Linked DNA regions of Diceros bicornis minor. The protein of the gene in region 1 purifies or fractionates together with the protein of each later gene. This does not show direct contact. Links are inferred from orthologs where the notes say so. Each region holds a gene or a part of one and is shown on either strand. Other genes may lie near its edges.

Region 1 (8,815 bases):
CCAACGTCCAGAATCCCAAATGGGGGCCTACTATAGTAATGGACACAAAACAAAAACACCTGTCTAATGTGATAGATAGATAAGGATATGAGCTTTGGGCAAGTTATTTAATCTCTCTGGCTTTCAGTTTCCTCATGTGTAAGAAAGGGGACAATGCCTCTTTCACTTTATCACACCATATGGCTGCAACTTAACTATCTTTAAACTTTGAGGGCAGCGACCAGCCTTATTCACCATTGATCCCCAGCACCTAGCAGAGTGCCTGACACAGGAAAGGACCCAGTAATGAATGAATGGCTGAATGCAAGAATAGGGAGTGAGACCGCGTATGCAAAATAACTAGCATAGGATCTAGCACATAATGAATTCTCAACAAATTTCATTCCTCTTCTCATCCCCAGGATTCTAACATTTAAGTCTCTTCTACAATCCTGAAGCAAATATTATGGCTTTTCCAAGCAACCCCGACAAGTTACATTTATTAAGCACTCTTAGGCAGAGTTTATGCTTTTGTCTGGCTCTTTTGCTATTCTACTTCCCTGACTTATAGGAGCTATGTTCTCTCTCCAGGGCTTTTAACAAAATATGACATATGCCATTTCTGTGGCTCTTTTTCAAGGTTCAGACTATTAAACAGTAAATAGAGTACCTACCCAAATACTTTACCTCTCACGTGAAGCTCAGGGAACAATCCCATTTTGTACTTGTTCTGCCACTTATCTGGCTTTCTCGCCCAGCTAGTGGGAGGTGAAACTTTGATACTGAACTCTCTCAGAGGAATGTGGCGGGAGACTCCAATTCCAACCACACCATGCCTCAGTTTGAACTTAGAAAAGAAGATATACCAGAGAAGATGGCTGACGATGACAGAAAGAGTATATTATCTCCTTGTCCCTGCCCCCATGAATCTTCTTATTCTTTGGAGGCCCTGGTTCAAGGGGCAGAAGAGTCAGCATTGTGAGAAACCTAACAGAGTAAAGGTCACAGTAAGAATCCATGGCCTACCCAGGAAGTGACGGTGTTGTGGTCAATGGGCTTGCTGGGCACCTGCCTAGTGTAGGTGATGGGAAGCTGTGGAGATCCATAGCGGTGTTTGGGGCTCTCCAGTGGCTGATGGTGGAATAGCAGCTGGGCTTTCTGGCAACTTGGGCGGCGTTTTTTTCTGGGAGGCATCAAGAAGTGAATGAAGAGCAGTTAGTAACCACATGATGCTGGTTGTAGTCAGGTCGGGGGAGTGGCTCCAATTCCAACCCATGCCTGCAGAGAAGAAACAAAAGCTGGGAGAAAGTAATTCTGACGATTCCCCAGCTTTTTCTCATACCCTGCCAGCGAGTTCTACTCTCAACTACCACCCCTACCTCAAGACTGTGGGGAGCACAGCTTCCTATATACAGCGAGTAAAAACACAGTGGTTCACATTCAACAGCATTCGCTCAATGGACATTTATCGAGCAAGTGTTAAGCACCATGCTGGGTGTCGGGAAGTTAAAGATGAATAACCATTTATTCTACGATCATTTATTGAGTGCCAACCACTTGTAGAAACACAGAGGTCAGACTGTCCCTGTCTTCAAAGAGCTGAGAGTCTAGCAGAGGGAGACAGACAATTACAACAATGGGAAGAATGCTTCCACTCACCCCAGGGGAGGCTTTCTAGAGAGGGTGATACCTGACCTGGGTATGGAAGAGCTAGGGAAAGCCAAAAGGCAGGGAGAGCATCCAGGCTGAGGAGCAGCACATACAAAGGCACAGAGACAGGAAGGAACACTGTGAATTCAGGGAATCACAGACTCCATGCAGCTGGACACAGGATACGAAAAGACAAATGGCAAGAATTGAGGCTGGACATGGTGTCAGGGTCAGGTCAGAAAAACCAGGTGTGCTATATGGTTTGGGCTTTAGCCTAAGTAGTCACTGAAGACTTTCAAGCAGAAGGATATGATCACACTTGGATTTTTAAAAATTTTTCAACCTAGATAATTTTGAACACACACCAAAGTGGACTGAATAATATAATGAACCCCCATGTACCTATCACCTAGCTCCAAGAACCATCAACCCATGGCCAATCCTGACCCCTCCAAACCCCTATCCACTTCCCCACCCCTATATTGTTTTGAAGAAAATATGATATTCCCAGTCATTATATCATTCCCATTAACACAACTAATACATATACATATATATACCTTAATATTATTAAATATCCAGAAGTGTTCAAATTTTCAATTGTATCATAAATGGTTTTTTGTTTGTGTTTGTCTTTTAGACAGATTGTCCTGGCAACAGTGTGAAAGGAGAGAACAAGCACCCTGGAAGTAGGAGGACCAGTTTCAGGAGGTAACTGTGTTACCTAAGTGAGAAATGATGGGGCCTAAACCTGGGTTGTCAGTGGAGATGGGAGGCTGGAGACAGAGGCAGGGTCAACAGGACCCACAAAGTGATAAAAAGTCTGAACAAGTGTCCATTGAATCTAGTAACCCGATCAACTTTAGTAAGAGCTTCGTCAATGGAATAGTGGGACAGGAGCCTGAATTCAGTACACAGAGAGCTAAGTGGGAAGCGCAGCTGAGCATCCTGGAAAGCCACACAGCAGGGCAGACTGGTTCCACTATATGTTCATGATTCATTCATTCAGTCAATAACAAAAAAGTAACATACTCTGACTTAGGTCCCTAGGCAGTGGAGATACAGGTAAAGAAAAAAAGGACAAAGTCTCCACCCTCAAGGAACTAACATTTTTAGGGAGAACACAGGTAATAAATATATCTATTTGTTCATTCATTCATTCAACAAATATTTACTGAGTGCCTACTGTGCACTAGGCACTCTTCCAGGTGTTGGAAATATACACCAGACAACAAAACTAAATCCCTGCCCTCATGGCGCTCACATGCTAGTTGGGAAGTGAGAAGAGGAACAGAGAAAAATCAAACAGGATAAGGAGCTGAGTGCTGTTTCAGACAGAGTTGTCATCTGAAAAAAGTGATAGTTGAGCAAAGACCTGAATGAAGAAAGGAGAACAAGGAACAACAGAAAGATGTGAGAGAAGAATATTCCAGGCTGGGAGAATAGTAAGTGCAAAGACCACAAGGTGGGAAGATGTCTGACTTGTTCAAGAAACAGTAAGGTCAGCTTGGCTGAACTGGAGAGTGGTAGGAGATGAGAACCAGTCCATGCGACACAGGGCTTTATAGGCAAGGTTTAGGACCCTGGATTTAATTATTCTTAGTGTGATAGGAAGCCACTGAAAGATTCTGGACACGGAAGTGACGTAACCTGATTTATACTGTTAAAAGATCACTCTAGGCGCTTTGTGAGAAAAGGTGGGTTGGGGAGAGGGGGATGGAGAAAGGAAGCAGGGAACCTGTTAGAAGGCTGCTGCAGGAGCCCAGTGGAGACAGACAGTGTAGCAATGGTTACAGCAGAAGTGCTGAAATTAACCAGCCTCAGATGGACACTGCCTTGTTCAGCAATCCTACCATGTTTCCTTATCAACTCATTTTCCACAAAGATTATCTTATAACTTTTCCACTTTCTTAAAACTTTAGAATTCCCCTTCTCTCTCAACAAACGACCTTACTTCTACTTCACAAAGAATGCAGGAGACATCAAAGGAAATTTTCTCATTTTCCAGAAATCAAACATACAAACCTACATGTATCCTGCACCCATCCGCTTTCTTTCTGCTGTCATTAGAAGTCAGTCCCTTTTGCTATCTAAGGCCTTTCCTTCTGGCTGTGCTTTGGAGCCTTCCTCACTCTATACACCTTTCTTAAGCAATCATCTGCTCACATTTCAATAACCACCTAGAAGTAGGTGACTTAAGTATTTATATACTCAGCTTAGAATTCTCCAAACTCAGGACACATATATCCCACTGCCTACTTGACAGCAACTAGATGTCTCAAGTGCACCTCCAGCTCAACATGTTTAAAGCTGAATTCATGATCATTTCCCCTGCATGCCCTCCACAAAAGTGATCATCTTCCAGGGCCCTTGCTCAGGGAATGGTATCATCATTCATCCAGTTATGTAGCCAGAAACCTTGACATTTCCCTTCCCCCTCTCCCATCCAACTCAACACCAAGCCCTGTCCATATTCCCTCTTAAACGTCTTCAGTAACGCCCCGTTCTTCCCTCTCTCTCTACCTCTGCCGGCCTCCCTCTTCGCCACCCCTCAAGTTCCAACAGTTCTAGCCCGGAGTTTTGCAGTAGCCTAACTGGTCTACCCTAATCCACTCTGGCACCCCCTGCAGAGGGACCTTTCGCCTGCAAATCTGATCTTGACTCACTTCTGCTTAAAATTTTTGAATTTTGAATAAGGACCAAACCCCTCAGTTATGGCTAAGGTCGTGCTTCCTCTGGATCTAGCTTCATGTCACACCATTCAGGTCTCTTAGCTCAACCCCCTCAGCTATTCTTCAGCCTTTGTACACACCAGCTTCCTCCTGCCACCAGCGTTTGCACACGCTATTCCCTTTGCTTTGCGAGTTTCCCTCCCTTCTTTGCATAACGGCGTCCGATCTCAGACCAAGCTTTAGTTCATCAGAAAAGTCTCTCCCGACCTACCAAAAAGTTATCTCTGACCTCTAGCTTATCACGCCACAGCTATAATTCTCCATTTGCTCATCTGATTCTGTGAAAACGTCTGTCTCCTCTCCTCCCATCAGACCGTAGGCTCAGGAGAAAGAACCTCCTCGCCATTGCATCCCAGCGGGGCCGGCACACAGTAGGCGCTCGGCAAAATCCGTGAGTACGTCAATCAACACAGCGCTTCGTTACGCCTAAAAGCCTGGCTGGGGGAGGGGGCAGGTCAGTGCGTGCAGACTCGGAGCCGAGGCAGGGTTCAGGGAGTGGCGTAATTTTTTAAGACGGAGGGAATGTGAACAAGAGTATAAGCTGCCCTCAAAGAACCCTCCGAGTAGTCGGGGGCCCACACGATCGTCAGTCGGAGGTCAACGGAGAAAAGCTCCCAGTGAGGAATCGCCCACGGTAGACTTGAGGGAGGTGGGGAGACGCCGAGGGGGCGGAGAGCGGCGTCGCCTGAGGCGACCCGGGCGGCGACGGAGCCCGGGAGGGAGCAGCACGCCGCCGGCCGCGGGTCCCCGCCGCCCCGCCGCCCCGCCGCGGGAGCCCCGCCGGCGCCGTCCCGGCGCCCCGGCCGCGCCCGCCCTCGTGCCGGCCGCCTCACCCGGCCCCTTACCCGCCGGGGCGCCCCGCCGCTCCGCCCGGCCGCGCCGCGTTCGAGCCCGGAACGCGGAGACAAGGGCCGGCACCGATTGGCGACGCTCCGTCACGTGACCGCAACGCTCCGCCGGCGCCAATTTCAAACAGCGGAACAAACTGAAAGCTCCGGTGCCCGACCCCACCCCCGGCCCCCGGCCCGGGACCCCTCCCCTCCCGGGATCCCCCGGGGTTCCCCACCCCGCCCGCACCGCCGGGGACCCGGCGGGCCCGGCACGAGTCTTGTCCGGGGCCCCGGCGCGGCCCCAGGTTGGAGGAGCCCGGACCCACCCTAGGAGCCATAGCCCAGCGGCGGCGGCGGCTGCAGTCGGGAGGTGAGCCGGCGCGGAGGCACGGAGTCGAGGCCGGGCCTTGGCGGAGGCAGGGAGCAAGGTCTCGGGCGCCGAGGTCAGGGGGTCTAGCAGCAGGGCGCGGGGCAGGAGTGGAGGTCTTGGGGCCACACGGGAAGGAGGTTCTGAGCGAGGGTGCAAATTTTTTCTGCATCTAGCCTCCCAGCCTTGTCCTCACTTCTTTCCCAAAGCACCCCTTGGCCCTCCCTGGAAGTTTGACCTCTGCACCCTGCCCGCAGCCTCGGGAGGGCTGGGTTGGCAGACTGTGGCTAGGTTGAAGATTGAGCTTATTCTGCATTAAATCAAAGACAAACCTGCCCACACACTCCCCTGCTCCCAGGTGCTCTCACCACTATGCAACACTGCCTCCGCTCCACCCTTTTACAGGGCCCTTCTCCTGGTTCTTGAGAATCCTGCAAAGTTTCCCTGGTCAGGATGGGGGTGGGGTCAGAGGAGTCACTCTGGAAGTCTCCTGGGCTAGATAAAGTGTTGGCAATGATAGGAAAGAGGCTGCACGGAGAGTGGAGGGGAAAATTAAGCCGTGGACCAGGAAGATATCTTTTGGGGGTGGGGAGGGAATAATAGTGTCTACTGATTGATGGAGGAAGGGAGGGAGGCCTGAAGAGATATGAAGTGCAAATAAAACTGAGATTTGAAGGTAGAGGAAACCTAGATGTAAAGGAAAGGGAGGAGGCAGAGTGGGGAGGGCCTGTGAACTCTAAGCAGATGGCAAGTGCCATATGAGTGTGACAGTCATTTTTGGGGAGATGGCAGATGTCCTAAAAAAGAGACAGCTCATTCCTCTGTCAAAGTACCTCTAAATGGGATTACACAATTTTACATAGTGGTAGAGTATTTCATGTACCTATTAAAATCAATAAAGCACAATTTTTTTAAAGCTAAAACTATTTTCCTGAACATTACAAAACCGCATTAATAGCATATTGGTGCTAGCACATTCTACTAGTCAGGAGATAGGGATTATAGTCTTGGCTCTGGAAGAGAAATTAAGTACTACAGTAACTAACGTACTTAGAAAGTTAAAATATGAATAAGGACAGGCAAGTACTAAAATGTCACTATATAAGTATTTTGCAAATTGTGAAAGAAAAATGTACTTTTTTTGAATCAATGCAAGGATAATAGCAAAATGTGAAATGAATGGCACCCCTTAGCATTATGCAGTACACAATCTGCCCACTTTACCATGGGCCTTGACAAGAGCAGTTTCCCGTTCATCTGGGGTCTTGTGAACCGGGAGATGATTTCTTCAGCGGTGTGGCACCAGTGCAATAGCACAATCTGCCTTTCTCCTCTCACTCTACGGGCACTGACCCTTTTATTTATAAACTGAGATGATTTAAAAATAGGAAGGCTCTGTCCTAGAATGGATTATGGGATCGGAGTTTTGTCAGGACTCCTAATTACCAAACGTCCTCCTATTCCAGCATTCCTGCCCCTACAGCCACTGCAAGTGACCCGTATTATAGTAGGCAATAATAGAGATTTCTACATTTTTGTAACTGTCCCACTTGTTTCCGTAGCCAAACATTCTGAAGCTTCCAGAAGACCTTTGGCTGTGTTGACCTATATCCAACCCAATCCCACTTTCCCCCTTTGAATTGCTTCTGTTGGCTTCAATTTTAGCTTTCTTTTGTCAGTAGAACTCATCTCCTTTTTGTCTGAGGTGTCCCAGGGAGCATTCACCTGGGCCTGTGGGCTCATGCTTCTGCTCATAGGTAGAGGAATGCATCTCTCTTTAACAGAAGCTTCTTCTCAGCCTAACAAATCTCTGACATCCTGCTTCTCCTTGCACTTCCTAGGGTCTGTGTTTATGATTCTCAATGGAGAGTGAAAGCACAGATTCATAATGAAAACTAGCCCCCGTCGGCCACTGATTCTCAAAAGACGGAGGCTGCCCCTTCCTGTTCAAAATGCCCCAGGTGAAACATCAGAAGCTGAGCCTAAGAAGGCCCCTGCCCAACAAGAGCCTGGTCAAGCGCAGGCCTCCAAGGAGGTGGCAGAGTCCAACTCTTGCAAGTTTCCGGCTGGGATCAAGATTATTAACCACCCCACCATGCCCGACACCCAAGTGGTGGCCGTCCCCAACAATGCCAATATCCAGAGCATCATCACAGCATTGACGGCCAAAGGAAAAGAGAGTGGCAGCAGTGGGCCCAACAAATTCATCCTCATCAGCTGTGGGGGAGCCCCCACTCACCCCCCAGGACCCCAGCCTCAAGCCCAAACCAGCAATGATCCCAACAGGACAAAAGTGATCACCAACACCCTGGGACCAAAGCCTGCAGCTAGGGATGTGAATCTTCCTAGACCACCTGGAGCCCTTCCTGGGCAGAGATGGGAGAGCTGTGGTATGTGGTCTGGCGGGCAAAGGGGTGAGGAACCCAGCCTTTCCTCTCCAGTGGCAAGGACTGCAGTCCGTCAGGTTGCTACTTACAACAGACAGGCGTCTAGCCTGGACTAGGGAAAGGCTTGTCTTTCTTCATCCTGAAACCTTGACCCAGACCCTTTGGGCGCTGTCCAAAGGGTTGCAATTGTAATTTAGCATTTCTATTGCCTTCTTTATATTGGAAAAGGATTTGTTTATTGTTTCTATTTATCCTTCCCATTGACCAAATAAGGAAGTAGGAGTCTTTCTCCATCTTAATAAAGGAGAAAACTGAAGCATGAGGAGGAAAAGTGAATTTCCTTGTGCAGATAGTAACTCTTTTGTAAGGTAGCCTTGACTGATCTCTAGGGTTTAGTGTGGCTCAGATTGAAAGGCAACTGGAACTATGCTCCTGAATTTTTCCTGAATTCCATAATGGGGCAGAATACCCGAGGGCTGCAACAGATTCAGCATGTGTTCTTTTCCCCTAAGGGTAAAGGTATTGGAGAGGTGATCCCCAACCACCAATTTTGATGTGCCTGCCGGGCCTCAGATCAGGCAGCTAAGTGGCATCTTGGATTGTCTCCCCTCTAGCTGGCGGTGAGGCAGCAGGCTGCACTCTCGACAACAGCTTGACCAACATCCAGTGGCTTGGAAAGATGAGCTCTGATGGACTGGGCTCCTGCAGCATCAAGCAAGAGGTGGAGGAGAAGGAGAATCATCACCTGGAGCAGAGTCAGGTTAAGGTGAACTCTTCTGTCACTCACTAGGGAAGTCAGAGCCAGTGCTGGGCGTTTCTAAGAAGGGAAATGGATCAAGTGGCCTGCGGAGCAGAATACCAGAACCAGAA
Region 2 (8,053 bases), on another chromosome or scaffold:
TTGTGTATAAACGGAATCATACAGTATATACTCTTTGTCTGGCTTCTTTCAACATGATTGAGATTCATATTGTGTCAATAATTCCTTTATATTGCTGAGTAGTATTCCACTGTATGGATATATTTGTTTTATATCTATAATTTCTTTATCCAGTCTCCTATTGATGGACATTTGGGTTGTTTCCAGTTTGGGCCATTACAAATAAAGCTATGTAAAACTCTCTGTGCGGACATATGCATTCATTTTTCTTGGAATGGCTTGGGTCACATGGTAGGTATATATGTTAAATTTTTAAGAAACTGCTGAACTGTTTCCAAAGTGGTTGTACAATTTTGCATTTCCACCAGGAGTATTTGAGAATTCTGATTGCTCCTCATCTTCACCAACATTTGATATGATTAGTCTTTTCAATTTTAGCCTTTCTAGTAGGTGTGTAAATCTCATGGTTTTATTTTGCATTTTCCTAATGACATGGTATTGAGCTTCTTTTCATGTGCTTTTGCCGTTGGATATATTTTGAAGGTAGAGTTTGAGAGCAGAGCCAATAAGATTTGCAGATGGATCAGATAAGTAATGTGAGAGAAGAGTCAAGAATGACCTCTTCATCTCTGGCCAGTCCCTGAGTACTTCTTATATTCCTTCTCCCTGACATGCATTGGCTATTCCCTCTGCCTCAACTGCCATTCCCCACATTGGCCACCTTGCAAATTCCTAAATCACCCAGCTCTGAAGAACATTTAGTGACCCCGCTGGTTGGGCATCCACAACCCCTGTAGTTTACCTTCACCTGTATTGAGCTGATTTTCTGTTTACTCATTGTCTCCCCTATCAGCTGAGGAGCTTCTGGAGAGTATGGATGGTTGGATCATCTCATGACTAGCCCCAGGCTTGAGCCCAGCTTCGATCATTTCAGCGTATTTTCACAAACAGTACTCTCCAAATTTACATTTTAAATTATGGGTGCTTTGCTTCAAGCTACCAGTCCACTGGCTGTGTGATCATGGTAACTTAACATCTTGGTGCCTCAGTTTTCTTATCTTTCAAATGGGGAACCTATTGGTACCTGCCTCACATACAGATGAGCATTAAATGCAAAAGGAATGTGAAGCTCTTAGTATGGTGCCTGGCATATGGTGTCTTCCCCAGGAAAATCCAGCTATTATTATTTTCTGATCTGGATACTTTGCTGATCCTTTTCTGGAACTCAAAGATAGGTCCTTTGCAAAGAGTTATTCATAAAATCTCAATCTTTTGAGAAGTGGGTGGGGAAATTTCTCTGTAGAGGTCTGATTCCTTGAATCAGGTAACCGAATTGCTTTCCCTGCATTGGGATCCCCCCTGTTGTAGACAGTGTCCCATGTCCAGTTGTGGTGCTTGGACTCTCATGCCTGTGGCCATGACTCTGTCCTCTACACTGATGCCCTTGGGAGTGGGGCAGAAGTGTCTGAAAAACATTCTTTTGTTTAAAAATCCCTTTTGATGTTTCACATCTTACAAGATACAGTTCAAACTCGAGCAATCTAAGTCCTTTCAGTTCTAGTCTGTGCCTTCCTAACTCCAGCCCAAATGTTAGCTTTATAATATTTAATTCATTCAATTAAAAAATGTTTAAAACCTCTTCCGTGAGTACCTACAAGGAGCCAAACATTATGGTAAAGATATGAAGCTAAGACTGTGAATGTGGGGCTGTCCCTGTTCTTGAGAGAACAATAAAATTGTGGGTGGAGGGAAGTATGGTGGGAGGACAAGGTTGATAAGGAAGGTGCTCAGTAGGTAGAGGGGAAGACGCCAAGCAGAAGGGCCACATGATCCTAGTTGTCAATTGCTTGTCGTCAATCAGTGTTTGTTTTGTGTCCAGCCTAGTGCTGGGCCCTGAGCATTTAATAAGTAGATTTGATCCTGTCTCCCCAAGTCAGATCCTATCTTGCCCTGAGTGTGGAGCCTGGAGTGGGGCAGATTATGGAATGACCAGAGGACTAGAGCCTCCCTGTCTGAGGAGGGCATGTCCAGGAAGTTTCCCAGTAGAGTGCAGTCTGTATGTTATCGGTCCTGGGCCCAGGGACCACTCCCACCTGTGGCTGCACCCAGGACACTTGGAATCCTCTCTCTAGGGGCTGTCTGTTGGTATGATGATAACTGGAGAAGACACACTTGTGGAGATTACCAGATTCTATCTGGCACCAGGGTGATCTCCCTGCTCCTTGACTCGGAGCACTGACTCCAGGCTTTTTAGACTCTAGTGTATTGCTCAACTGGCCCCAGTTCCAGGTTCCAGGGAGACTCTCCAGCTGCTCCCTGCCTCTTGCCTTGGGCAAATGCCTTGCTGGAGCTGCCAGGTCCTGTCTCCCTCCTGAAATGGGACAAATAATCCATGTGAGAGTGTGTGCTGTGTGCAAAGCAGCTTCCTGGACCTCAAAGGAGAAGCATTAGGGCAGGTGAAGAGTCATAATAATAATAATAATAATAATAACTAAAAGTAATATCATACTTATTATGTGCCAGGGATTGTTCTCAGTGGTTTACACATATTAATTTATTTAATCCCACAACCATTCTACAAAGTAGGTACCAGTATAGTGATTAAGAACATAGACTCTAGAACTAGACAGCCCAGGTTTGAATCCTTGCTTTGCCATTGACAGTACTAGCAGTGTGACCTGTGGGGGAGGCCTGTGTCTGTTTCCCCATCTGCCAAAAGAGGATAATATTAATACTACGTCATAGGGTTGTTATGAGAATTAAATGAAATAAAGTTTACAGAGCATACAGAACAGTGGCTGGAATATAGTGAAAGCTATCTAAGTTTTTGATAAATCTCATTTTTACAGATGAGGAAACTGAGGAACAGAGGAGTTAAGGAATTTGCCTAAGATCACACAACTAGTAAATGATGGAGCTGGGCATAAAACCCCAGGAAGTCTGGCTTCAGAGCCTGCACTCTTAAATATTATGCTCTGACAATGAAGACAGAATGTCCACATGAATTACTTTATGAGAGAAGTAGGTGGGGGAAGCCCTGAATTAATTGATGTGGAAGCTTCTAGCACTTAAGATGTCAGTATTCCTTCTGCTGTGGTAAATGAAGTTTGCAGCAGCTGGCTGGACTGTCCCAGGTGGCCAGCAGTTTCTGGAAGAGGGATCTAAGGCATAAGCAGGGCCTAAGAGGCTGGAGTTCAGCCAGGTCTCTCCAGGCTCCTGTCTCATAGTTCATTCACCTTGTCTCAGCACTCCGCCCAGGGAGCCTGGTGTGGCATGACACTCCGGAGGTGCTTGGTAAATGGCAACTTAGAATGGAGAATCCGGGGCTGCCCGGTGACGCAGCAGTTAGGCGTGCACGCTCCCTTGCATCGGCCTAGGGTTCGCAGGTTCAGAACCCAGGCGCACACCGACATACTGCTTGTCAAGCCCTGCTGTGGCGGCCTCCCATATAAATATGGAGGAAGATGGGCACGGATGTTAGCCCAGGGCCAGTCTTCCTCACCAAAAAAGAGGAGGATTGGCATCAGATGTTAGCTGAGGGCTGATCTTCCTCACCAAAAAAAAAAAAAAAAAGAATGGAAAATCTTTGCCAAGTCTCTAGGAGTTTAAGTATGTGGCAAACTGAATTCAACTCAGCTGTTGAATTCTGGGCCCTGGGGATACTGCAGTGAATTGAGGGGCCACTTGGACCTCAGCCTGCCCATAGTTCAAAGGCGGAAACGCACAAGTCAACAAGCAGATTGCGGGCAGTGGACCCCAGGGATAATTGGGAGGGATGGGCGGGAAGTGTTCCTGGCCCAGGTAATGGCCCAAGCAAAGGCAACAGAAGCTAGCCAGTTTCCTTTGGCTAAGGGCGGGGTGGTGATCTGGCAGAATCCTATCAACCTGATTATGGAGTCTTTTACCCTGAGGGAGAGGAGAGAAGTTTTAAGTCTGGAGAGGCAAGCTCAGGTTTGCATTTTATAAGGCTCCTTCGGGTTGCCAGGAGTGGACCTGAGGAGCGGGAGCCATTGAATTCCACGCTGCAGAGGAAGCAGGGAGACGGTAGGGGTGAGGGATCCGCTTTAGGGTGGGGGCTGTGGAGCCATTGAATTCGAGGCTGCAGAGGAAGCAGGGAGGCGTAGGGGTGAGGGGGCCGCTTTAGGGTGGGGGCCGTAGGGACGAAGAGCGGCTTGGACTAGTGCTGAGGTTTTTGCGCAGGCGGTTTCCCCGGCCTGACTCTCCCATCCTTGCCCCTCACTCCCTTTCCTCAGCCTTTGCCGTGTGGGGCTACTCCAGGGCCGCCCCGGATCCACACTGGGCCTGGGCCGGGCCTCAGTCACCCGGTGGCCAGCTCAGAGCCGCCTCTCCCAGTGCCCCGTCGCACCCCTGGCTCTCCCCGCCCCGGGCTTCAGGGCTCTGGGCCGGCGCGGCGCCCGTCTGCCGGCCCGCAGGCCCCGCCCCGCCCCGCAGGCCCCGCCCCGCGCAGCCCGCCCGCCCGCGCGCCAGGCCCGGGCGGCGCCGACGCGCTTGGCGGGAGATAGAAAAGTGCTTCTGTGCGCGCCGGCGGCGGCTGCAGCTCCTGCGAGAGGCGGCGGGACCTGCGGACACGCTGACGCCTCCCAGCGCGGCCCCGGGGCCCGGAGCGGCCGGAGCAGCGCGCGCCCTGACCCCGGCCCGGCTCCCGCTCCGGGCTCAGCCGGCAGGCGGGCGAGCGCGGCGCGGCCCGGGCCGGGGGGATGTCTCGGCGGACGCGCGGGTGAGCGGGGCCGGGCGGCTGAGGGCCCCTCCCCCTCCGCAGACTCCATCCCCCTCCACCCCGATTCCTGCCCCCCCCCCCATGGTCCCTCCGAGCGGGGCCGGGGGGACGAGTTCTGCGGGAAATGCTGAGCCCTGGGTCGCCTGAGGCAGGGGGCGCTCGCGAAGACGGGGGCCTCTTGGGGACCCCTCGCTCTGCTCCCCGGGCCTGCTGGGCCTCGGAGCCGGGGCGGGCGGGTCTCCTGGGACCCGGGCCAAGCCCTGCATGATGTCATTTTGTCTCCCGCCTAATTGCGGGGTGGGGGTGGAATGGCGGTGTCAGCTAGAAGGGCCTTTACCGGGGAGGGAGGCGACCCCTGGAGAGGGAAACTGATGCTCCAAGTCGCAGTGAGCAGGAGGCCAAAGCCTGAAAGACACTTGTCGTTCAAACCTATTTTGGTTCAGATTTGGCGATTCTCAACGTTTGGGGAAGCACAGAACACCCCAAGTCCTCTCCCCTGCCCTGAGAAGGGTGCTGTGGGGGAGGGGGCCCTTTTGTCCCCCACCACCTGGCTTCCGGGCCCCAGCTCGGTTTAGTTTCAGAGACCTGTCTTCCTGTTCCACGTGAGGAGTTTGGGGCAGCTGGGGTTGAAGGTGAGGGGAAGAGAAACTGATGTGTATCAAGACCACTCTGTGCCAGCAGCCCCTGGGGCCACGGCAGGAACTGTGGTCTCCATTTTACCTATTCCCCCAGAGAATAAGTGGCAGAGTCGAACCTGGAACCAGGTCTGTGGGCTCCGGGTCCCAGTCTTACACCTGTGCGCCTGGGACCTGAGTTCTGGGCTTTTCAGCCAGTCTGGGAGTCAGGGAGGACAAAGGGGGTCCTGTCTTGACCCCTGCCTGGATTCATGCAGCCCAGACAACCCTACACCCGTCTTGAGATGGTGTTTGCCTTCTCAGGCTGAGGATGTAGACCCGAGAAGCACTCATTGCTGGCTTTCCCCAGAGTTCCTCTCAGCGAGGAGACATCTGATCCCTGGGCAGTGGTCAGGGTACCTGGCACAGGGTCTGTCTTCCTCAGGTCACGATTTCCCAGGGCTGCTCGGAGTCCCAGGAGTTTTCTGGTTAGGCACTTGTCAGACCCTGTTGTGACTTTTGATTCAGGAAGTTTTACTCCAGGAAATGACAAAGCCCCAGACAACCCCCAGGTCCTCTGCCACTTCTCCCCTGGGGCTCAGTGGAGGAACCCCCTCCCAGGTGGGGGATAGGTTCTGCACCTGGCACCCCACAGCCCTCAGCTCGATTCTTGGCCACTTGCTGTAGCTCTCCTCTGCACCAGTGCCCCACTTCCCGCTCAGCTTCTGACTCACCCCGCCTGGAGCAGAGCCCAGCACATTGAAGGGCATAGAAAGGGTGTGTTGGACCTACACGTGGTTGCCACCACTGACTTGGCCTCTGCTTTTTCAGCTGTGATTACTTGGTGAAGACTTGAAGGTGCAGGTTTGGAGCCTGGCTCTGTGGACTTGATAAGTGGCATAACCCCTGAGCCTCAGTTTCCTCATCTGTTAAATGGGGATAATGAAAGTGCCTATGAAGTGGTTGGTCAGCACCATGTTGCTGACGGAAGTGTATTATCTCACAGAATTCTCTCAGCTGAGTTGCTTCCCCATTAAATAGAGGATTGGAGCACCAGAGAGTGTACACACGGATACCTTTTCATCCTTGAAAGAACATTTGCTGAGCTTCGATTAGAAGCTGGGTGCTGGAGAACCAAATATCGTTTCTGTCAGAAAGGAGTCTGGGGGCAGTTAATTTTAAAACCCACTTCATTCTGTTATTAGTGTCTTGTAGATGTCTTGCCTCCTACTTTGTGATGGTGGAGGACCCCATGTATGGGCTCGGGAATGACAGGGCAAGGCTGCGTTCCAGCTCCTTCTGTGACTGATGTGTTGCTGGGTTTAGACACCATACTTTCCTTTCCTACTTCTAAAAAATTTACTTTAATTAGTATTTCTTTTCAACTAACAAGCAGCAGCTTTGCATGTTCATTCATTCATTTATTCGTGTATCTGGTCATTCCCTGAGCAAACATATCTTAAGGCCTTTTTGGTGCCACCTCCCATCCTGGCCCAGTGGAGGTGGAGCTGACCTCTATTGAAGATGTCAAGGAGATAGGCAGTTGCAGCCTAAGGGTCTACATTCTGAGACAGGAGGATTTCCAAGGTGCTGTGGGAACACGGGAGTGACTCCAGGAAGGTGCTGAGATCTGGAGAAGGGGAAAGGAGTGTGGACACAAAAGGAAGCCCTCTTCCTTCTTTTGGCACACGGCTTGTGCTTGCCTTGCTTGCTTGGAGATGTGTAGGCTTTTCCCACTTAGAAATACCTGCCTTAGGAACGTACCTGACAGGTGACCTGATGCAGGCCCCACCACGTGGAGTTGGGAGGTTACTAACCTTCCCTCAGCACCTGACATCCCTGAAGATGGATAGTATGATCTCCATTTTTTTTTTTTTTTTTTTACTTGAGGAAGATTGTCCCTGAGCTAACATCTGTGCTCATCTTCCTCTATTTTGTATGTGGGATGCGGCCACAGCATGACTTGATGAGTGGTGTGTAGGTCCGTGCCCGGGATCCTACCTGTGAAACCCCAGCTGCTGAAGTGGAGCACAGGAACTTAACCACTACGCCACCAGGCCGGCCCCATGATCTCCATTTTTGTAACCATTTAAACCTAATAAATATGAGGATTTTGGAGCAACTTGGAAAATTGCCTATTAGAAAATTAAAAACATCGAGAATTCAAAGCTGCTTCTACTCCATAAACTGTCTGTGTGTAGAGAAGGATTGAGAAGGGGGTATGCAAAAACGGGCATAGTTACTGAGATAACGTATTTAAAATAATATTTCTTAAAATCCTTGTGCTTGATGATCACACACATGGTTAGCTCTAATCCTCAAAATATGCAAGTTTAAAAAGTTTTGTTATTGAAAATATTAAATGGGTGCTGGTTTTGAGTCTCATAATATTCTTGATGAAATCTTAACCTCTTTTTTCTTGTAGCTTTTGAAATCATTAGGGTGCTCCTGAAAATAAAAGAATAAAGAAAATAAAAATAGCCCGTGACCCCATTTCATTAAAAAATTAAAAAGAGCGTGGAAATACTTACAGTTTTAAAAGCGGAAAGAGTAAAAGCCTGCCTCCCATAACTTGTCCCTAGAGGTGACTGGCCGTTGCCCACACTGTCTGTCCATCATGTAGCAAGGACGTGTGGAGACACATGTACTTGACTTTTAACTTGCTCCTCCTGCAGTGAGGAGCTGGATGAGCTGCACTACCAGGACACGGATTCAGACGTGC

Evidence for each region.
Region 2: the proteins of FOXM1 (region 1) and MYBL2 purify together in Homo sapiens (affinity purification with western blotting; 3 studies listed by BioGRID and IntAct, with this or other methods). This does not show direct contact. The link is inferred for Diceros bicornis minor from reciprocal best matches to the Homo sapiens genes FOXM1 and MYBL2.

The regions. Positions count from the first base shown.
Region 1 is NC_080756.1:58,504,788-58,513,602, forward strand, and holds the start of FOXM1 (forkhead box protein M1), read left to right. Parts: upstream 1-5,406; 5' UTR 5,407-5,561; intron 5,562-7,399; 5' UTR 7,400-7,446; coding exon 7,447-7,948; intron 7,949-8,559; coding exon 8,560-8,711; intron 8,712-8,815. Other genes in the region: RHNO1 (RAD9, HUS1, RAD1-interacting nuclear orphan protein 1), read right to left, coding at 1,006-1,173. UniProt on the Homo sapiens protein: Transcription factor regulating the expression of cell cycle genes essential for DNA replication and mitosis. Plays a role in the control of cell proliferation. Also plays a role in DNA break repair, participating in the DNA damage checkpoint response.
Region 2 is NC_080758.1:17,298,433-17,306,485, reverse strand, and holds the start of MYBL2 (myb-related protein B), read left to right. Parts: upstream 1-4,516; 5' UTR 4,517-4,697; coding exon 4,698-4,717; intron 4,718-8,006; coding exon 8,007-8,053. UniProt on the Homo sapiens protein: Transcription factor involved in the regulation of cell survival, proliferation, and differentiation. Transactivates the expression of the CLU gene.